4 linked regions of the Saccharomyces cerevisiae S288C genome follow. The gene in region 1 interacts genetically with each later gene. Each region holds a gene or a part of one and is shown in the gene's direction. Other genes may lie near its edges. The genes, in order: HYP2, RPL22A, SUB1 and SDH9.

Evidence for each region.
Region 2: mutations in HYP2 (region 1) and RPL22A together harm fitness more than expected from each alone (negative genetic interaction), as found in Saccharomyces cerevisiae (2 studies listed by BioGRID).
Region 3: mutations in HYP2 (region 1) and SUB1 together harm fitness more than expected from each alone (negative genetic interaction), as found in Saccharomyces cerevisiae (one large-scale study listed by BioGRID).
Region 4: mutations in HYP2 (region 1) and SDH9 together harm fitness more than expected from each alone (negative genetic interaction), as found in Saccharomyces cerevisiae (2 studies listed by BioGRID).

What each region holds. Positions count from the first base shown.
Region 1 is NC_001137.3:82,287-87,670, forward strand, and holds HYP2 (translation elongation factor eIF-5A), read left to right. Parts: upstream 1-3,389; coding exon 3,390-3,863; downstream 3,864-5,384. Other genes in the region: RAD23 (Rad23p), read right to left, coding at 1-317; ANP1 (Anp1p), read right to left, coding at 764-2,266; UTR5 (Utr5p), read right to left, coding at 2,759-3,259; MTC7 (Mtc7p), read left to right, coding at 3,893-4,312; MCM DNA helicase complex subunit MCM3, read left to right, coding at 4,651-5,384. UniProt on the Saccharomyces cerevisiae protein: Translation factor that promotes translation elongation and termination, particularly upon ribosome stalling at specific amino acid sequence contexts.
Region 2 is NC_001144.5:260,246-265,657, forward strand, and holds RPL22A (60S ribosomal protein eL22 RPL22A), read left to right. Parts: upstream 1-2,948; coding exon 2,949-2,960; intron 2,961-3,349; coding exon 3,350-3,703; downstream 3,704-5,412. Other genes in the region: REX2 (Rex2p), read right to left, coding at 1-302; FRS1 (phenylalanine--tRNA ligase subunit beta), read left to right, coding at 734-2,521; BMT6 (25S rRNA (uracil2843-N3)-methyltransferase), read left to right, coding at 3,912-5,009; PER33 (Per33p), read left to right, coding at 5,211-5,412.
Region 3 is NC_001145.3:345,657-351,407, reverse strand, and holds SUB1 (chromatin-binding transcription coactivator SUB1), read left to right. Parts: upstream 1-1,885; coding exon 1,886-2,764; downstream 2,765-5,751. Other genes in the region: D-arabinose 1-dehydrogenase (NAD(P)(+)) ARA2, read left to right, coding at 1-442; YET2 (Yet2p), read right to left, coding at 545-1,027; copper chaperone CCS1, read left to right, coding at 3,148-3,897; stress-responsive transcriptional activator MSN2, read left to right, coding at 4,891-5,751. UniProt on the Saccharomyces cerevisiae protein: Plays a role in the release of TFIIB from the transcription complex during transcription initiation. Binds to TFIIB and specifically inhibits the formation of the TBP-TFIIB-promoter complexes.
Region 4 is NC_001142.9:353,644-360,215, forward strand, and holds SDH9 (succinate dehydrogenase SDH9), read left to right. Parts: upstream 1-2,380; coding exon 2,381-4,285; downstream 4,286-6,572. Other genes in the region: GTPase-activating protein GYP6, read right to left, coding at 4,657-6,033; YJL043W (uncharacterized protein), read left to right, coding at 6,487-6,572. UniProt on the Saccharomyces cerevisiae protein: Probable minor catalytic subunit of succinate dehydrogenase (SDH) that is involved in complex II of the mitochondrial electron transport chain and is responsible for transferring electrons from succinate to ubiquinone (coenzyme Q).

The sequences.
Region 1 (5,384 bases):
CTGGGGGATGCTTCTGTAGAATTTTCTCTTCCGGGGGTAGTGGCGCTCTCAGGAGCAATTGGAGGTTCTGTTACTTTGGTCTTCGTGGACTTTTTTTGAGAAACCATGAAGACAACTTGGTCCCCATCTTTTAGCCCGCATTCCGATACGGTTTTGGAATCTTGTAGCACTTTACCCGAGTAGATCAGTTTTATTTGAGATTCTTCACAAGAAATGGATTGAGCAAGCTTGGTCTTGGTCTCTAAAATTGTGTTTGAAGGTTCCAGATCTAAAGGAACTTTTTCCTTCTTGAAATTTTTAAAGGTTAAGCTAACCATTTTTCTATTGTATGTTGTCTTTGTGTGATCTGTGATTTAAAGGTGGAGTTAGATGCCTTTATTAAGTCTTTAGAGGAAGGAAAATTGGATGGTAGCAAGCTTGTCTGCGAACGGCCTTATCAATGGTTCAAACTTAAAAACAGGGAGAAAAACCTAAGTGTACCTTCTAGCTTTAGCTACTAGTCAATACTGGATGGGACCTTGTTCTATCATTTTTTCTTAAGTTTTGCTGTCGCTATTTCTTGCCTAGCCATAATGAAAGAGAAGAAAATAAAAAAATTTCAATTTCGCCACCGAGCCGTGTATAGTGATTGATATAACAATGGTATTGTAATTCACTCAAAGAAAAGTTAAAGACCAAAGAATAGAGGTTTGATATTATTATCGGTATATATGTACAACTATATGAATTCGTACTTCATATGTAGGTCACTAAAAAACCGAGCCTAGTTTCTATCAGGGTCGAAGTCTAATGGAACTTCTTTAGGATGTTTTTTCTTGTTCTTGTCGTTGTCATCAAGAGGTTTCCCCTGCGGGTTGCCGTCGAGCTGTTGTTGCTGTTGCTGTTGCTGCTGCTGCTGTTGTTGTTGTTGTTGCTGTTGTTGTTGTTGTTGGTTGTTTGGTGAGACAAAGTCACCCTTTGAGTCCACCAGCTCCGAGCCATCTCCCTCTTCAGACCAGTCTACAGTGACTTTATTGTTCAAAGTGGAGTCAATGTTTTTTAAGATTGAATCTCTTTCTTCGTTCCATTGGTCTCTGACATCTTCAAATCCAATCTCCCAGATCTTGTTGTAAAATTCGCGAATTCTCTCTTCTTCTAGTTTCCGCTTCTCCTCTTCAGCCATCCAAGCCATGTGCTTTAAGTCGTCGCTGGAAGGTTCGTAGATGTGCCAGATGACATAATGGGGCAAGCCGATGACATTGTAATTCATCCTGCGGGAGAGCCTACCGAATGCTTCTGTCTCTGCGTGCTTTTCAAAGGAGAATGCAGGAAAGTGTGAGCCTGTTCTGAATACTTTAGCTTTCGCGAGAATCGAGACCCCTCCAATACCGTCCAATTCCATTTCGTCTTCTGGATTACCGTTTGGGTCTCTCATGTATGCCAGGTGAGGTCTCCAAGTGGCGTACTCTGGGTACCCTTCCACAATGACAGCATCTTCGTCTAGGGAATCCGCCAATTGAAGACCCCCTTCTGATTCCTTCCATGAATTTAAATCGTAGGGTTGAATGTTTCCCAGCCAGTCTGGTAAAGGTCTCCAGACGTTGGGGACAATGACGTCCTTGTCGTGATGCATTAGATCCTCCATGATGGTAGTGGGGATGGTTTCGACATCCACGTCTCTCCAGTAAACCCAGGAGTGGTATGGTTTCAGGGCCACGGACCCAAGCCAATTACGAGCCCTGGCCATCAGCTTTCTTCTGGGGCCCTGGGCGCCAAACCCGTGACGATCAGAAAAGGACTGACCAATGATTTGGCCGAAGTCCTTCTCATAGATTTCGATGTTACCAAACCTTTTGGACTTGTCTTGTTGCGATTGCGCCATCTGTAGATTGGATAGTAACACGCCCATGGTGTTATCCGAAGAGTCACTCACCAAAAACGACAGATCAATCAGGTTGTGCGGATATGTCATGGTATTCAGATGGTTAAAAAACATGGGAAGATGCTCAGAAGCATCTCTCAGTGGCACGCAAAACAAGATGCGGTCACCCTGTTGCCAACCATCTTTGTTGCCTTGGTAATTTCGTAGGTCGTAGAACTCTACGCTGGGAGTATTTTTAAAATCTGGAACATAGGGCTTGAAGATTCCTTGGAAAGTTACCAGCTGGAATAGCGATATCGAGAAGAACGAAAGCACGAGTCTTGTGAGAAAGAACACCGTAAGCAACGTTCCAGCGATACTTACTGTGGTAGGGTTGAACGAGAGTTTTCTGTTATTATACTTCATTATGGACGTACACTTTGCATGAAAGCCACAAGGAACTGTTTAATGGAGCGAAAAAAAGATGATGAGGGTAAATCGCACCAACACTCGCCTAGCAACTGAGTGATGAATGGTTTTGCAATGCTTGCTGTCTCTACTAACAGATCTTGGCGTTTTTGAATCGTGTAGTTATTTTTATTTATTTTTTTTATTTCATGTTTTCATGATTTCATCTTACGCAATTTTTTCACGATGAGACAAGGCGGGCGACCCCACACAAGAGGAAAATTGAACACAATGCGTTGGTAAAGGGATTACGAATTGATTAAACCAACATAGTGAGACAAGAAAAGAAAAGAAAAGAAAAGGAAAATGAAAAAAAATAAAAAAAAGAAGGCAACTAGACCAGATGAGCCCGGTTCATTTCTATTCTCTGCAGTCACTGCTATTTTCATCAACAGCGCAGGCCAAGTTGAACGAGATAGTAGCAATCGTAAAAGGAACTAGCTAACTTCATCATGAAAGTTTACCCTTTCTTGCCGCTACCCTTCTCGTTTGGCTGGTATTAGAGCACAGCGGATATATCCGGCTCAACAGTATAAGTAACGATAAGTCCTGACCATTGGCTTCGTTCTGGTGGCATTTTCTCTGAGGGGTGAGAACAGCAAAACGGGAACGGCGACTTGGAGTAGTATAACGCTGTAGCTGGACGCTGAGGGGCCAAGGCCGGTAAAATTCTGCAACACCCAGACCTTGCTGCAGTGATATCATCCACCCATACCCCTCGATGTATTCCGTAGCGTTATATCGGGTCCGTGTGAGGCGACAAGGGACCTCCCGCACCGCACATACCGCAGGAGCTAAAAGAAACGCCGTCGCCCGAAAAAAAGTTTCGAAGGTGAAGGAACAGTGGTAATAAAAATTTTTTTCGTCGTCGTCGTCGATCGGCTTTTGGCCGCGTTGATCGTCGTGTTCCACGATTATATAATGCACAAGGTTTTTGCCATATCTTGACATTGGAATCCCTCATTTCCTAAATTCCTCTCCTTCTATCAATTGCTTCCTTTCCTTCTTTCTAACGATTCTACTTCTGTAGCCAATTACTCATAGACTCCCAAACACACACAAATACCAACTCATATATACAATGTCTGACGAAGAACATACCTTTGAAACTGCTGACGCTGGTTCCTCCGCCACCTACCCAATGCAATGTTCTGCCTTGAGAAAGAACGGTTTCGTTGTCATCAAGAGTAGACCATGTAAGATTGTCGACATGTCCACTTCTAAGACTGGTAAGCACGGTCACGCTAAAGTCCATTTGGTTGCCATTGATATCTTCACTGGTAAGAAGTTGGAAGATTTGTCTCCATCTACTCACAACATGGAAGTTCCAGTTGTCAAGAGAAACGAATACCAATTGTTGGACATTGATGACGGTTTCTTGTCTTTGATGAACATGGACGGTGACACTAAGGATGATGTCAAGGCTCCAGAAGGTGAATTGGGTGACAGTTTGCAAACTGCTTTTGATGAAGGTAAGGACTTGATGGTTACCATCATCTCCGCTATGGGTGAAGAAGCCGCCATCTCCTTCAAGGAAGCTGCTAGAACCGATTAAACCGGTTAACATCATGGCATGGGATATAAATGAAAAAAGAAAAAAAAACTCCGACGCCCCTTCCATCACATCATGTACTCTTCGCTGAACCGGGTTTTTTTCTTTGCAATTTTTTTTTCGTTCTCCTAAAGCATACACAAATAAATCCTTTTTTTTATTTTCTATTTATTTTGTTATTTATCATCTATATAGCAATAATATACTTTGTTTTTATTCGTATTTCACACTTTTCTTTTTCCTTATGCAGGCAGTGTAATTCATTGGGGAGGATGATTTTCATGTGCGCATATCTACCGGCTGCAAGCAGCCGGTCGGTGGCAAATCCGGCGCTTCCCCCTCAAAAAAAAAAAAAAAAAAAAAAAAAGGGAACTCTCAGAACGGGGGAGGTTGAAGAGCAGGCCAAGGGAAATATTAGTTTTGACCTATGTGGGAAACAGAATTTTCAATGAGTTATGGCAACTTGGCCGAGTGGTTAAGGCGAAAGATTAGAAATCTTTTGGGCTTTGCCCGCGCAGGTTCGAGTCCTGCAGTTGTCGTTATTTTTCTCTTTTTTTTCAATTTCCCTTGTTCGTCAGATCGAGGCGGTAGAAGAAACAATTACTTTTCCTAAATGGGTAAAAACTCGTGTTTTAGGAAAAAAAAGAAAAATTTGGTCAAAACTCGAAAGATAGGTTCTTAATCTTCTTTCAAGTTGAAAAGGCCTACGCTCTTTTCCTTGAAGCATTTTCATCCTACTGCTCGTATTGAACTCCACTATAAGCGCACCAAAAAGATACAAACGTCAATTATGGAAGGCTCAACGGGATTTGATGGAGACGCTACTACTTTTTTCGCTCCAGACGCTGTGTTTGGTGACAGAGTGCGCAGATTTCAAGAGTTTTTAGATACTTTCACCTCATACAGAGACTCTGTAAGGTCCATACAAGTTTACAACAGCAATAACGCGGCCAACTACAACGATGATCAAGATGACGCAGACGAACGAGATTTGCTAGGTGATGACGACGGTGATGATCTTGAAAAGGAAAAGAAAGCAGCATCGTCCACCTCATTGAATATACTCCCTCACAGGATTATCATCTCGCTTGATGACTTGAGAGAATTCGACAGGTCGTTCTGGTCGGGCATTTTAGTCGAACCAGCATACTTCATCCCGCCTGCCGAAAAGGCGCTTACTGACCTAGCAGATTCCATGGACGATGTTCCACATCCCAATGCCTCTGCAGTATCGTCTCGCCATCCTTGGAAGCTTTCGTTCAAAGGCTCATTTGGTGCACACGCATTGTCTCCTCGTACTCTAACGGCACAACATTTAAACAAACTGGTCTCTGTTGAGGGTATCGTAACTAAGACTTCGTTGGTCAGGCCAAAGCTTATCAGATCTGTCCACTACGCGGCAAAGACTGGTAGATTCCATTACAGAGATTATACAGATGCTACTACAACTCTCACCACCCGCATCCCAACGCCTGCCATCTATCCAACGGAGGACACTGAAGGTAACAAACTAACCACCGAATA
Region 2 (5,412 bases), on another chromosome or scaffold:
ACGCTCTCATAATGCGAGTCTCCTTGGCCATCGGCCGCTTTGACGGGTGCCAGGTGTCCATCGGTGATGATGCAGCAAATCTCGATAATTCTGTCATTCACGTGGTCTAAACCGGTCATCTCGCAGTCGATCCAGACCAAGGGTTTGAACAGCTTGGTTTTAAGTTCGGGTGTTTGCGCCATTGATTGCAGGTTTTGGATGGTTCGAGGACGTAAGTACTGTGAAACGGATCTTCTGTACAGCGAGAAGAGGTTTGGGCGAGTGCGAGCTACGATTCTTGCCGGAAACAACAACCACTTCATCTTGATCTCTTCTGTTTATTTGTGAAAGCTCCTTTTCTTTTTTTTCATTTTCTTTGCAAATCGAAAAGTTCACACTGATTTTTTATTAGTTCTTTTAAGTGCCCAACTTGACAGGAAAAAGAAACACCCCAAAGGGAATACCAGTGTATGTAAGGCTTGAATTATACGTATGAGCATGCGTTTGATGGTTGTCGTCAGAGCCAGTGCTCTGAGAGTGTCCCAGATGACTACAACCCTTGTATAAAAGTACATCTTCTTGATTATTTATCACGACACACGAGGTGACCGATTATTCAGAATCGGTACCAAAAAAGAAAGAAAATTGAAGGAAATGAAAAATTTTCAATGTATTTCTCGAAAGCCTGGAGTTGATCAAATGTTCAAAAAATAGGGCAGAATAGCATAACACACATCAATAACACCGAGCCAGCATGCCTACCGTCTCCGTGAACAAGCAGCAATTATTTGATCTTCTAGGCAAAAACTACACTTCCCAAGAGTTCGATGAATTATGTTTTGAATTCGGTATGGAAATGGACGAAGACACCACAGAGGAGGCCTTGAAAACCGGGGAGGAGCCGGAATTGAAGCTTGATATCAGTGCCAATCGTTACGATTTGCTTTGTATCGAAGGTATTTCACAGTCGCTGAACGAATACTTGGAACGTAAAGAAAGACCTGACTATAAATTAAGCAAGCCAACCACTAAGTTGATCATCGACAAATCAACGGAGCAAATTAGACCTTTTGCTACCGCTGCTGTATTGAGAAATATCAAGCTTAACGAAAAATCTTACGCTTCTTTTATTGCCTTGCAAGATAAATTACATGCCAATCTATGTAGAAACAGAAGCTTGGTTGCCATGGGTACTCACGATTTAGATTCAATTGAAGGTCCATTCCATTACAGAGCTCTACCACCAAAGGACATCAAGTTCGTACCATTGAATCAAACCCAAGAGTTTACTGGTGACAAATTGATCGAGTTTTATAAATCTCCAGAACAGAAAAACAACATAGGGAGATACGTTCACATTATTGAGGATTCTCCAGTCTTCCCAGTTATTATGGACAGCAAAGATCGTGTTTGCTCCCTGCCACCATTAATCAATAGTGAACATTCGAAGATCTCTGTGAACACCCGTAACATTTTGATTGATATAACCGCCACCGATAAGACCAAAGCCGAGATCGTTTTGAACATATTAACTACAATGTTCTCACGTTATTGTGACGAACCATTCACGGTTGAGCCTGTAGAAATTGTCTCTGAACACAATGGCCAATCCCGTTTGGCGCCAAACTTCAACGATAGAATTATGGATGTCTCCATTAAGTACATCAACTCCTGTCTTGGCCTAGATCAATCCGCTGATGAAATTGCTCATTGTCTAAAGAAGATGTCGTTGCATGCCGTTCAATCAAAGGAAGACAAGGACATCTTGCACGTTGACATTCCGGTAACTAGACCTGATATTTTGCACGCTTGTGATATAATGGAAGATGCCGCTGTCGGTTATGGTTTCAATAATTTGCCAAAGGGTGAGAAATTATCCAATGCCAACTTCATTGCCAAACCATTACCAATCAACAAGGTTTCTGATATTTTCAGAGTTGCATCCTCTCAAGCCACGTGGGTTGAGGTTTTACCATTGACCTTATGTTCGCACGATGAAAACTTTAAATTTCTAAGACAATCCGACAATGGTGATTTAGCTGTCAAATTGGCCAACCCAAAGACTTTGGAATACCAAGTTGTTAGAACCACTTTATTGCCTGGTATCTTAAAGACAGTCAAGGAAAACAGAAAACATTCCTTGCCAATCAAAGTCTTTGAAACCGGTGACGTTGTATTTAAAGACGACAAACTAGAAAGGAAGGCGTACAATGAACGTCACTGGGCTGCCATCTACGTGGGTAAGAATTCTGGGTTTGAAATCATTCAAGGGTTATTGGGTAAAATCATGCAAACTTTTAGAACAGAGTGGATTGCAGACTACGGTGCTGCTGCTTCTGGCAGAGGTTACTGGATTGAAGAAGACGATTCTGTGAAAACCTACTTCCCAGGTAGAGGTGCCAAGGTCATGTTCAGATCCAAAGAAGGCGCTGAGCCAAAGCAAATCGGCCACTTGGGTGTCTTGCATCCTGAAGTCATGATGAATTTCGACGTTCCATTCGCTGCATCCTTTGTAGAGGTTAATGCCGAAGTCTTCCTATAATGTAATGTTCTAACAAAAATTTTTACTGATTTATAAAACTTATATAGATAGATAGACACATATATATATCTATATATAGAAACACAACTAAAGTTTACCATGTTTTATATAATATTACTACCGCTACTGAGTAAATGTTTAGCTTGTACTTAACTTTCAAAGACAGTTTTTTTGATAAACATCAGTACATTTAATAATACATCCATACATTTATGTTAATTTGTTTTTCCTTTCCACCTCAGTGCGCTTCTCTTTTGAAAAAATCCTCAACAGGCCACGCGAACAAATCTTACCGAGAATTTCCTAAAATGTTTCAAACTATCATTTAGCTGCATACAATATGTACATTATTAATTGAGATTAACAACTTTACCTGTACTTTACCGTTATCAAATTATAAACCACCAAAACAACAGATTAAGAAACAATGGCCCCAAACGTATGATACTTTAAAAGGAATCCACGCCCGATTACGAAGTCTATGTTTTACTGTTATTGTAATGATTGATTGTACGCGAATAACAAGGAAGATAGTAAAACCAAAAAAAAAAAAATAAAAATGTACGAAACGAAGAAGCGTCTATGTGTTTAGTTGCTTTTCTGTATTTTAAAAATTCACTACTTGAACATTGAACTCTATATCGACTCCCTTCTTTTTATCCGTTTCTGAATGTTTTTTTGTTTGAGATTGTCATATGTGATTGTTAATAGCAGTAGGCAACTTTGTGGTTTCGGGATTGAAAGAAAATCGTGAAATATTCGTTTTTTACTAACATTACTGTTCTGAAAATTTTTACTAATTTTCAATCTTTAATTTTTTTGATATAGACTTCCAGAAAGCAAAAGATTGCCAAGACCTTTACCGTCGATGTCTCTTCTCCAACTGAAAACGGTGTCTTCGACCCAGCTTCCTACGCTAAGTACTTGATCGACCACATCAAGGTCGAAGGTGCTGTCGGTAACTTGGGTAACGCTGTCACTGTCACTGAAGATGGTACCGTTGTTACTGTTGTTTCCACTGCCAAGTTCTCTGGTAAGTACTTGAAGTACTTGACAAAGAAGTACTTGAAGAAGAACCAATTGAGAGACTGGATCAGATTTGTCTCTACCAAGACCAACGAATACAGATTGGCCTTCTACCAAGTCACTCCAGAAGAAGACGAAGAAGAAGACGAAGAATAAATTCATTAATATTATTTTAAATAGAGCATAAGTTTTGTATAATTAAAATCTTCTAAACCTAATAAATATGTTTAATGAATGATTCAATATCAAAAAAAGAAATCCATTGGGCCCTTAGTGCATTTTTATTTTTTTTTTTTTTTTTTTTTTTTTTCTCTTTCTGAATTAGAGTACATCTCATCGCAGGGTCTCTTTTTGCACGTTTTTGATGTTGCTTATGAGACGCTTTGCCTTTTTAACTTCTTCAGTATATTTTAAATATATACCAATTTATTCACAATATCATTACTCTTCTCAGTTTCCAATTAACATGAATCCTAAAAAAGTGGCCCAATTGCCCGTTCACAATAAATCAACGCTTCCACCACAGGAAATAATCGATCTTTTTAAAATAACATTCTTAGAAGAGCTATATCCAAAAGATCAAGACAATGAAAAGTCACCGTTAACTGAACAAATACAGGCGGTAAAATCTGACCTTTATAACAGAGATTACAATGCTGCTTTCAATAACGACTCGAAAAGAATAGCATATTGTTGTCGTTGGTCACCGTCCAGAGCAACAAGTTACGCATCAGTATTTGCACATTTCCCTGAGCTTCTAAAGATTATCAGATGCGAAATTGATGACAAGGACTCAAATGTGCTCTGCATAGGTGGCGGCGCTGGTGGTGAGCTGGTTGCATTAGCGAGCATATTCACTTTATCGAGAGATTTTTCGTCTAAATTTGCCTCTGCTTTGAAAATAGACAACGAAGTAAACAAAAAGCCTAGAAATTTAAACATACAACTAGTAGATATCGCCGACTGGTCCACAGTTGTTGAAAAGCTAACAGCTACAATAAAGTCGAAATGGCTATATGGTGATTCAGAAGCAGAGTCATTTAACGTCAACTTTACCCACAAGGACTGCCTACAAATGACAGAGCCACAAGATATCAAGATATATCAAGGCCTCGACCTAATAACTCTACTTTTTACTACAAATGAACTATTTACACAGAAAAAAGTGGAGAGTATAAAATTTCTGCAACGGTTAAACGAGAACTGTGCCCCAGGCTGCCATCTTCTCATACTAGAGAGTGCAGGAAGCTATTCTCACATTACCATCAACAACAAGAAGTTCCCAATCCAATTTCTTATCGATACTATCTTAGTAGGCAATAGAAAGGACAAGGGAACGACAGGTCCATGGTCACTAGTATCCGAGAACGACAGTATTTGGTATAGAATGGACCCAAAACTCGACTACTCGATTCCATTGGAAAACATGCGATTCTTTTACCGTCTTTATGTCAAGAACTAACAGGCTTTATGACGTTTTACTGTTCTCTTTTCATTGTTCTTTTCTCGAAGAGTTTAGAAAAATTTTTTTTCTTCTCATCCACACCGAAAAAATATTAATAAGAGAGTTGAAAATTCGATTTGGAATCAGAAATAAAGAAGGGGCCACGATCAAACAAGACTCATTTCGAATAATTGTAAAAAAAAATTAGCACAAAACAATATGACCGTTCCCAGGAATCGTCCCATGGCACCATTTGGCACCATTATCAAATCAAGAATAAAACAACCCCAGTTTTATTGGTTTATAGGCCATTTTTTAACCATCTTTAACTTTATACAATTTCATCTTTCAATCACGTCCAAACAAAACCAATTGTCATGCTATAGAAGATCATTATTTTACATATCCGTTACATATGCCA
Region 3 (5,751 bases), on another chromosome or scaffold:
GAACTTACAAAACAATAAGCTATTGAACTTTCGAGAAAGACTGCTACGCAATGCTAAACTGAAAATGGTTTGCAACGCATCAATCTTGAGCATGTCGCTACTAAGGTCACAGGAGACAAGACAGTTTCACCCGTGTTCTCATGAATTGAGAGAATGCGCATCTCAGGCTGCCAAATACTGTCAAGAACAAAATGTCGACTTAGCCGATTTGGCCACAAGATACGCGATTTCGGAATGGGTAGGAAAGGGACCCGTTGTTCTTGGAGTCAGTAGCATGGAAGAATTGAAACTTGCTCTGGATAATTACGAAATTGTGAAATCGAATGGCAACAGATTATCTTCTAAGGACGGACAACTAGTAGAATATATCCAAAAGAATATTTTTAAAGAACATTTTAATGAAGAGTGGTCTTCAGGTATTCCTCATCCAGAAATGATATAATCACCCCAAAAAGAAAAAAAATTTGTCAAATTTTAGTTTATATTCATTTGTTCTATTTACATATGTAAGTTTTTCCTTTTCTTCTTTTTTAGTTTTTTCCTTTTAAAATTTCTTCTTCTGCAATTCCTCTAAATATTTTTGCTTTCGTCTTAACTTTTCCTTCAGAATGTCATCTCCAGCCTTCATTTTGTCATTCCATTCCACTATTCTTCGCAATATACTCATCACGGTGAGTATACATATATAAAAGTAGATGATGAAGCCTGAAATGTAAACATTCCTTTGGTTATATGCCCTTGAAGCCAGTGCATCCACTGGGGTTACACTATTTATTATATAGGGATTTTTCTGGTTGCGGTACGTAGACACTCTGATCTGTGACCTTTTCCATGAATCGATGAACAAAAGACCAACGAAGATCATGATTCCAACCATATAAGTTCTGAATTTCTTATTAGTACTTATGATACTGTAGCGTATATACAGCCACCTTCTCATACGCTGTGGAAGCGGAAGTACCAAAATAAACAGAATGGCCATTTCGATGACCAGTAACGAAAAGAGTACTGCCAAATAAACACCCATCACTAACTCGACTTTGAAATTTTGCTTAGTATTTTTCTATTCACATAATTCATGCTCCAACGAACACTCAGCGTATTTATTTACTTCCAGGCGGCTAGCTTTTCTCAGAGAAGGCCAGCTGTACATATATTGCTCTATCAACCCTTTTTTTTCCCTTGTCTTTTTTCCAAGAAAACCATTTTGCCTAATTGACACAAGCCTACACAACCAAGTTAGCCGTTAAACACAGCAGACGTATCTCGATCTCGTCAATGATATATACGTGTTTTTTGGAAGAATGAGATGGGATAGTAATACACCAAAAATGGGCTGATCATCCGATGTTATTATCAACCATTGGTGGATGGTCAAGACAGCGGCGCTAAATGCCACAGCCTCGATCCGGGTAATACTTATTTTGAGTTTTTTCAGCTGGGACGAATTATCATCACTAACAAGGACAATGAGTATAGCACTGCACACACACACGTTTTATCTTTACGTTATACGTAATTTTTCCCTCCTTTTAATGATGAGAATTTATTAATACATTCATTTGAATGGGAATTTTACTTTTACCTTCCTCAAATTTCTTTATCAAAACTCAAGTTTTCCTCTCTTTTCATCTCCTCTTCCTCTCCTTTCTTTCTTTCTCTCTTTCTTTTTCTCTCTTGGCTTGCCTTCTGCTCTCTATTCTTGATGAAAATTCTTAATTTGATCCAGGGAACGATAGGAAGACAAGAGAAGAGGTTGTAAACGTGAATTTTGTAAAAGTCCCCAATCAAAGAAACACTTTTGGTTGCCCACTTAAGAAAGCTATTTAATATTAAATCTTTCCGTACACATCAATTTTTCGACATATATACAAACACAAGCGCTATGTCATATTACAACAGGTATAGGAACAAAAGAAGAAGCGATAATGGTGGAGGAAACTTAAGTAACAGTAACAATAACAATGGTGGTATGCCATCTGGACTATCCGCATCAGATGCAATTTTTGATCTGGGTAAAAATAAGAGGGTCACGGTAAGACAATTTAGAAACATAAATTTAATTGATATCCGTGAGTACTATCTGGACTCATCTACAGGCGAAATGAAACCTGGGAAGAAAGGTATTTCGTTGACAGAAGATCTATACGACGAATTGCTTAAGCACAGATTGAATATTGATGAAGCCTTGAGAAGGCTAGGATCCAAGAGACCAAAAACCAAAATGGTTAGACTATTGTCCGACGACGAATATGAAGATGATAACAATAATGACAGTACTAATAACGACAAGGATAAAAACGGGAAGGACAAGAACAGCCCAAAGAAGAGGAGAGAAGATAAGTCCAAAGCATCTAATGAGAGTCATGACTTGGAGCCACGTTCAAAGAAGAAGAAACCTGCTCCACCTACTCTACTTCCACACGAGGAAAACATTCAAAACGCTGAAAGAGAAGCCAATGCTACTTTGATCATCCCAGGCCAGGCAGGTAGGAAACAACAAGAGGAACGCAAGCAAAAGGAAAAAGAAGAGGCAGAGGAGGCAAAGGCAAAAGCAGTTGCAGAACAAGAGAAAGAGGCAAAGGCAAAAGAAAAGATAGCTGAACCTGAACCTGAACCTGTACCCACACTTCAAGCTAAAAAAGAAGATATTGTCTCCAACATAAACGAGTCAAAAGATGCAAATTCTAGTGACGAAGAATTTGCTCAAAGCTTGGAAGCTGAAATGAACAAGGCTGAAGACGACATAAGTGAAGAAGAATAATAGTCCTGGAAGTTGAGCTTGCTTATGTCAACGTCTTCCATCCAACGAGCTTATTAGAGAATAAAAAAAAAAAAAAAGAAATAAAAATATATACTTTTCTGTTTGTCAAATTCATTTTAACAATTCATATAATCAAATATGTGATTTATAATAACCAGACAAAAGTTAATCTTGTACATTTCAGTATAATATACTATCAAAAAAAAATTTGCGCTTACTAAGCATTTTCCCCGTACAACTAGTACACAGTGAGAATGGAAGAGGGTAAAAATTCATTGTTCGGAAAAATAATATATTAAAGGCAAGCCAAAAAAAAAAAATTTAGACTAAGAAAAGAATAAAGATATCTTTGCAAGGCAGAAACCCATTCGATCAGCACAAAAATGACCACGAACGATACATACGAGGCTACTTATGCCATTCCCATGCACTGTGAAAATTGCGTGAATGATATAAAGGCATGCCTAAAAAATGTCCCAGGAATCAATTCATTGAATTTCGATATAGAGCAACAAATAATGAGCGTGGAAAGCTCAGTAGCCCCTTCAACCATCATCAACACCTTGCGAAACTGTGGTAAAGACGCCATCATAAGAGGCGCCGGGAAGCCGAATTCTTCCGCGGTCGCTATCTTAGAGACCTTTCAAAAATATACTATAGACCAGAAAAAGGACACCGCCGTGAGGGGCCTAGCAAGAATCGTTCAGGTTGGAGAGAATAAGACTCTTTTTGACATCACTGTAAATGGCGTCCCAGAGGCGGGAAATTACCACGCCAGCATTCACGAGAAAGGCGACGTCTCCAAGGGCGTGGAATCTACTGGTAAAGTTTGGCACAAGTTCGACGAACCCATTGAATGCTTCAACGAGAGTGATTTGGGCAAGAACTTGTACAGTGGGAAGACCTTTCTGAGCGCTCCCTTGCCAACATGGCAACTTATCGGCCGCAGCTTTGTCATTTCCAAGTCTCTGAACCACCCAGAAAACGAGCCTTCCTCCGTTAAGGACTACTCATTTCTGGGAGTCATTGCGAGAAGCGCTGGTGTGTGGGAAAATAATAAACAAGTGTGTGCGTGTACCGGAAAGACTGTTTGGGAAGAGAGAAAAGATGCCTTGGCCAACAACATCAAATAGAACATCCAAGATAGCACAACGTAGCGTAATACAGATATAACATAATATAGTATACTACATCATAACCACGTGATGCCGGACATGTACATACGCATGTGGCAATATGCCAAAGCCGGTTTCCAATCCTACTTCATATTGCCTTGTCCCTCCGGTTTCGCCGGCAACAACGGCCCGGAACGTACCTAAAGAGGTATTTCGCTCTTGGTATCCGTACCTCACTTATCTCCAGCACCTATCGTTCCTGGCCAGACGGCCGGAGTTGATCTTTCGTCTTTCTCCGGAAACCACGGCGTTCAGCTACGCATTCCGTAGCAGCCAAGCCGGTTCTTGACACCATCTGTCTACGTCATACATATCGGCTCTTTTTGTCTCTAATAAATTAAAGAGAGCCATTTATACGAAAAAAACACCTTTTTACGAATTTCAGAAAATCAGAATGGGAAAAACAAACTGCGGAAAAGAAAAACAAGACACCGAAAATATATACAATTTCCCCTCTACAGACAACATATAGTATTGACACTTACTTATTTATATTTGTTGTTTCCAGCGAAAGAGACAGGTAATAAAGACAAATAGCAGAACAAAGTGGTGTTTGTTGCCTGATATCAGCACCAGTCAGACTTGGCCCTTTTACTTTTATCGCGTAAACCGTGTTCCCTTTTTTTGCCTTCCTGTTTGGTAATAGTAAGAAAGCAGCACGAGCTCAACAAGACTTCCCAGTTAGAAACTGTGTTACACGAAAATAAAACAGACGGAAACCTTGGAGATAACAGAAACTAGTCTGTAATACGAAAAGTTCAAAAAAAAAAAGATATTGCTTTTTTCTTCCTTACTTTATCGGTATCTTCCTCATATTTTTCGGGAAGATCACAACAGTAGTAGCAAGGTATTTCATACGCCAAGAGGCTACCTTTTTTTCTTTGGTTTTATTTGCTTTATTTTTTCTTTCTTTTTTCAACTTTTATTGCTCATAGAAGAACTAGATCTAAAATGACGGTCGACCATGATTTCAATAGCGAAGATATTTTATTCCCCATAGAAAGCATGAGTAGTATACAATACGTGGAGAATAATAACCCAAATAATATTAACAACGATGTTATCCCGTATTCTCTAGATATCAAAAACACTGTCTTAGATAGTGCGGATCTCAATGACATTCAAAATCAAGAAACTTCACTGAATTTGGGGCTTCCTCCACTATCTTTCGACTCTCCACTGCCCGTAACGGAAACGATACCATCCACTACCGATAACAGCTTGCATTTGAAAGCTGATAGCAACAAAAATCGCGATGCAAGAACTATTGAAAATGATAGTGAAATTAAGAGTACTAATAATGCTAGTGGCTCTGGGGCAAATCAATACACAACTCTTACTTCACCTTATCCTATGAACGACATTTTGTACAACATGAACAATCCGTTACAATCACCGTCACCTTCATCGGTACCTCAAAATCCGACTATAAATCCTCCCATAAATACAGCAAGTAACGAAACTAATTTATCGCCTCAAACTTCAAATGGTAATGAAACTCTTATATCTCCTCGAGCCCAACAACATACGTCCATTAAAGATAATCGTCTGTCCTTACCTAATGGTGCTAATTCGAATCTTTTCATTGACACTAACCCAAACAATTTGAACGAAAAACTAAGAAATCAATTGAACTCAGATACAAATTCATATTCTAACTCCATTTCTAATTCAAACTCCAATTCTACGGGTAATTTAAATTCCAGTTATTTTAATTCACTGAACATAGACTCCATGCTAGATGATTACGTTTCTAGTGATCTCTTATTGAATGATGATGATGATGACACTAATTTATCACGCCGAAGATTT
Region 4 (6,572 bases), on another chromosome or scaffold:
AATAACGTAGGTAAATATCAAAATTAAAGTCTTTCACCGGAAACTGATTCAGCATATTTCAGCAGACGCGTCCTAGATTCACAGCAAACTTCAATATAAGCGATACATTAGGAGTGTTCGTACTTTAGATCTATAAGAACTATATTTTGTTACGATTCAGCCGTCTCTAAATGTGAACTAAATATTTATACTGTTATTTGAGAAACCGACAGATAGTACTTAATTTTATCGATCATCTAAGAATAGCATCGGTATTGTGGTGACATTTATTGAATTTCTTCCGCTCCAGAATAAAGTTCCTTTTCACTTCAAAAAACTGCCACCAGTAAAGTTGCACCAGTGGTTTTTGAGCATTTTTTGTCAATGTCGCTTAACCGTTCTTGAACTGTATCCTCTTGACGTCGATAAAATCATTTGTAAAAACCAGGCCAAATCATCATTGAATAATTTACACTGTGTCTTCAATGTCGCCATTTGGACCAATAATTATCAAACTGTTCACAATTCACTCAAAGTCCTTTCAGCAACATTCTTATGAAACAATACTTTCTTTGAATTTGTATGATGAAACAAAATTTTTTGGTTATTAATCATTTATCACTCTCGGTAGCCAAGTTGGTTTAAGGCGCAAGACTGTAATTTACCACTACGAAATCTTGAGATCGGGCGTTCGACTCGCCCCCGGGAGATTTTTTTAATGTGCTCTAAATAGAATGTGGATGAAATTTCTCTTGGCCGCCGTACCCTTCTTCATAATTAATAATTTCTTTCCATTTTGCAGGATTATATCTGATCAATAAGTGATTGTAAAGATTTTGTTTGTGAGAAATATGTGAATTTTTAATTTTGGTTATAACTTAATAATTGTTGGAATTCCATTTTTGATAAAGATGAAAATTGGTGAATTTTGAGATAATTGTTGGGATTCCATTGTTGATAAAGGCTATAATATTAGGTATACAGAATATACTAGAAGTTCTCCTCGAGGATCTAGGAATCCTCATAATGGAACCTATATTTCTATATACTAATATTCCGTTTTATTCCTTATTCCGTTTTATATGTTTCATTATCCTATTACATTATCAATCCTTGCACTTCAGCTTCCTCTAACTTCGATGACAGCTTCTCATAACTTATGCCATCATCTTAGCACCATATATGATAATATATTGGTAGTATGACTACTAGTTGATAGACTGAAGAGAATGTGGATTTTGATGTAATTGTTGGGATTCCATTTTTAATAAGGCAATAATATTAGGTATGTAGATATACTAGAAGTTCTCCTCGAGGATTTAGGAATCCATAAAAGGGAATCTGCAATTCTATACAATTCTATAAATATTATTATCATCATTTTATATGTTAATATTCATTGATCCTATTACATTATCAATCCTTGCGTTTCAGCTTCCACTAATTTAGATGACTATTTCTCATCATTTGCGTCATCTTCTAACACCGTATATGATAATATACTAGCAACGTAAATACTAGTTAGTAGATGATAGTTGATTTTTATTCCAACATAGACGATAGTTGATTTTTATTCCAACAGTGTTGACATATAAATACTAGTCAACTAAATGGTAATTGGTTATTATTCCTCAACATTCTGCTACCAAACGCAAATGTAGTAGGAGAGTTTAGATTTTCAACGTTGGTTTGCGAGATTGGTGAAATCAAAGCATAGTTTACCTTTAATCCCAATCTTCCAACAAACAGTAGCTCGCGTGGCGTAATGGCAACGCGTCTGACTTCTAATCAGAAGATTATGGGTTCGACCCCCATCGTGAGTGCTTTGTTTCTTCCGTGATAGTTTAATGGTCAGAATGGGCGCTTGTCGCGTGCCAGATCGGGGTTCAATTCCCCGTCGCGGAGATTTTTTTTGAAGCTGTTGTAGTTACTACTTTAAGATCCAGATTGATACAGTACGTATGTGAGGCAACAGATACTTGCAATATAACAAGTTTTGTGAAGAGATAGTGTGAATACCTATGGTTCCACGCAAGAAATCATCTATTTGAATTTTCGGCTTCTATAAGAATGACAAAACTCATAGGAAGCTGCAATGCATTAATTTTCCGTAAGCTTTATTAACCCGTTAGCCGCTCAAGTCGCTTTTCTCAGGTCGCGCTCCTCTTCTCCGGACTTATGTGGCTCCCTTTAGAATATAAGGGTCTTCCCTTTAACGGAACAGTAAGGTTCCACAAGGTGGCAAAAAAGGCAATCCAACCGACACTTCGGCAAATTTCTTTCACTCTAGTCAGAGCTAAGTTCTTATATATACTTTCTAAATAATTATCTGCTAAAATAAGAAAAGAAGGAGCCTAAATACGTATATCTATATACATGTATACACGTGAGCTAATAAATTATGTTATCTTTGAAAAAAGGAATAACAAAATCATACATCTTGCAAAGAACTTTCACTTCTTCCTCTGTTGTTCGTCAAATTGGGGAAGTGAAATCTGAATCGAAACCGCCGGCCAAATATCATATTATCGACCATGAATATGATTGTGTGGTGGTAGGCGCTGGCGGTGCAGGTTTAAGAGCAGCTTTCGGTTTGGCTGAAGCTGGATACAAGACTGCTTGTTTATCCAAGTTGTTTCCAACAAGGTCACATACTGTGGCTGCTCAGGGTGGAATTAATGCTGCGCTGGGAAATATGCATCCAGATGATTGGAAATCGCACATGTACGACACTGTCAAGGGTTCTGACTGGCTCGGAGACCAAGATGCAATCCATTACATGACAAGAGAAGCACCTAAGTCTGTCATTGAACTAGAACATTACGGTATGCCCTTTTCGAGGACTGAAGATGGAAGGATTTACCAGAGAGCATTTGGGGGACAATCCAAAGATTTTGGTAAAGGTGGACAGGCCTATAGGACTTGTGCGGTGGCAGATAGAACAGGTCACGCAATGCTTCATACATTGTATGGACAAGCGCTGAAAAATAATACACACTTCTTTATTGAATACTTTGCAATGGATTTGTTGACCCATAATGGCGAGGTTGTGGGTGTCATTGCCTATAATCAGGAGGACGGTACAATTCACAGATTCAGAGCACATAAGACCGTCATCGCGACAGGCGGATACGGTAGAGCTTACTTCTCTTGCACTTCTGCTCACACTTGTACAGGTGACGGTAATGCTATGGTTTCTCGCGCTGGATTTCCACTAGAGGATTTAGAATTTGTTCAATTTCATCCGTCAGGAATTTATGGGTCTGGCTGCCTAATCACTGAAGGTGCCCGTGGTGAGGGTGGATTTTTATTGAATTCTGAAGGAGAAAGGTTTATGGAACGCTATGCTCCTACTGCCAAGGACTTGGCAAGCAGGGATGTTGTTTCCAGAGCAATCACCATGGAAATCAGGGCTGGCAGAGGTGTCGGGAAAAACAAGGATCATATCCTTTTACAATTAAGCCATCTACCACCTGAGGTACTAAAGGAAAGGCTACCGGGAATATCTGAAACAGCTGCTGTCTTTGCGGGTGTCGATGTCACCCAGGAGCCAATTCCTGTCTTGCCAACTGTCCATTATAATATGGGAGGCATTCCCACAAAATGGACTGGTGAAGCATTGACCATTGACGAGGAAACTGGAGAGGATAAGGTCATCCCAGGATTGATGGCGTGTGGTGAAGCTGCTTGCGTATCGGTTCATGGAGCGAACAGATTAGGCGCTAACTCACTACTGGATTTAGTCGTTTTCGGTCGCGCCGTTGCAAATACCATTGCTGACACATTACAGCCTGGCTTGCCTCATAAGCCATTGGCTTCAAACATCGGGCACGAGTCAATTGCTAATTTGGATAAAGTAAGAAATGCTCGCGGCTCACTGAAAACCTCTCAAATCAGGTTGAACATGCAAAGGACAATGCAAAAAGATGTTTCTGTTTTCAGGACGCAAGACACTCTAGATGAAGGTGTTAGAAATATTACTGAAGTGGACAAGACATTTGAGGATGTGCACGTTTCTGATAAGTCAATGATCTGGAATTCTGATCTCGTAGAAACTCTGGAATTGCAAAATTTACTTACTTGTGCCACACAAACGGCTGTTTCTGCTTCCAAAAGAAAGGAGTCTCGTGGTGCTCATGCGAGAGAGGACTATGCAAAAAGAGATGATGTGAATTGGAGAAAGCACACATTATCATGGCAAAAGGGGACATCAACACCTGTAAAAATCAAGTACAGGAATGTAATCGCACATACTTTAGATGAGAATGAATGCGCCCCAGTCCCTCCAGCTGTCAGATCCTATTAATTCTTATTTATTTATTTATTTATTTTGGAGGGCAAACTTATTTATTGATCTGGCAAAAATGATCTTTCCCTTTTTTCTTATTTTTCTCTCTATCTCTCTCATTGATTCTTGGTCAATAGTACTCGTTTACTGTCAACTTACACCTTATCTATTATGCTATATAATTTTATGCAAGACATTGAAGTACAATATACGTCGAGCTGCAATATGCAAAAATATCAGAGGGAAACCAGCTCATTAGGAAATATGACATGTGGGCTATCTGTTTGTTGGTGGTAGCTGGGTTTTTTTTTTTTTTTTTTTGATTTTGTCGTGCGGGTGTGCAGGCTGGGATTTCAAACAAATAACAACGAGTAATTGACAAGAAAAACTTATTGGCTTATTTTCTTTTTGTTCTTCAAAATTGTTTGCCTTACCCTCTCCCTCAGTTTGTTTTCGAGTGATTGTCTATTAGGATCAATAGTCAACTTTGCTGTTTCCATACTTAAAACATCACTAGTCTTTATGCCGAACTTCGCATTTATAAAAGTGTCGCAAATCAATCTCATATCGTCGTAATTTTTTCCATACCACAATTCACATAAATTTCCAGTGACCTTACACAGGTCTAAAAACTTTTCATCATCTTTACTGGCATCTTCCTTTTCAAAAATTTTCTTGAAATGCAAAATCAATTCAACAAATTCATCGTTATTATTCGTATGTTCATAGTCACCTTGGCTCACTAGTTCGTGAAGCTCATCGTAAATGGATAACAAAAGGGTGATGATAGTGCATGCAATGAAAATATCCAAGGGATAATTGAACGTCAGGACGTGGTCCCAAACGATTAGCACATATTTTAAGGGTAATTCTCTTAAAAATAACAACCTTGTCCATCGGATGAGCCAGATTAGGTTGGAGTGAATCAGATGGTCTACGTTTTTTTTCTTCCCGCTGCCCGTTTTTGGTGGTTGGTAAAAAACCTTTGAAAACAAGTCTGGCAAACAAATCCTAAAGATTTTCGTGAATACTCTCTTATCCCAGTTAATCAAATTTTCTTCGTTATAAAAAATCGGTTCGATTTGGTTCATTAGCTTGTTAAAGATAATCAGAACGTTTTGCAAATCGGTATTATCGAGATCTGTACCGTGATATAATTGCAGATAAATGACGCTTAATATTTCGTGGAACCCTTGTTTATACTGTAGGTGTTCGCTTTGATGTATAAGCAGGTAATTGTACAAAAGTTGTCTCATTTGAGCATGAACCTTGGGTTCCTGAAATATATCGTCAAGCATTATCCTTGAGAGGTCCAAATCTATAATTTCCAGAGTTTCCCTCAGTGTCAACGGCTTTTCATCACTTCCCTTGGACAAAGAACCTTTAGTTTTGTCATTGTCATCAGACAAGGGATGTTTTTCAACAGCCTCGACGGGAGTCAGCCTCCTGATTCCCACTGAGGAGGAAACGTTCGAGTGCAAGACCCTTTTAGGTACATTTGCATTATGATTTTCGTCATAGTTGTCGCCATCTGCCAGCATAGGCACTGGCACCAAGCCGAACTGGTTAAGGTCCAAACCTTTAAAGTTATCAGTTAACAAGCAGTTGTTGTTTTCATCACACAGAAGCAAAGCTTTCCAGAGCCAGCCTCTACTATTTTCTTTAAAGATAGAGTCATGGTAGAGTTCACCTTTCCAAATTCCCTTCTGCACCAGTTGGTCTCTTGTCTCGTAGTGGTCAATCGCCCATTGTAAGACATCCTTCATGGTTGCATAAGCGAAAAAATACAAACGCACGACAGCTAACCCTCTCTATGTATGCCAATTCTCTTGACAACTCTCCCCCATTGTTCTGAAAAAGGTAATGAAATTAAACGCTGCTGTACCGATTATGGAAAACTCAATGGAAAAATTGAAAAAAAAAAAAAAAGGAACTAGTAATGCCGTAGGAGAAGCGGGTAACATAATATCCGGTTTTCCTTTACGACCGCTTACAGGCCTAAACCAGCGCACCATCCAGTTACAATAACACTTGGAGCATGCGTACACGTGTGCGTATTCTACGGCTGGCATGGGCAAAATAAGACGTGGAATTTTTCTGTGGTCAGAACTTTGCGTCAGTAAATAATTCAAGAAAAAATAATAATTATGTCGAAAAAAAAATAGAAAAAAAAGAAAAAAAGAATACTAAAAGGTGAGTGTTCAGGAAAACCGCAAGCCATGTTTGTTGATTATTCCGGACTGGAGCGTTACACGGATATAAATGCATCTTTTGGTAAGTTGGTCAACACTTACTGCTGTTTTCA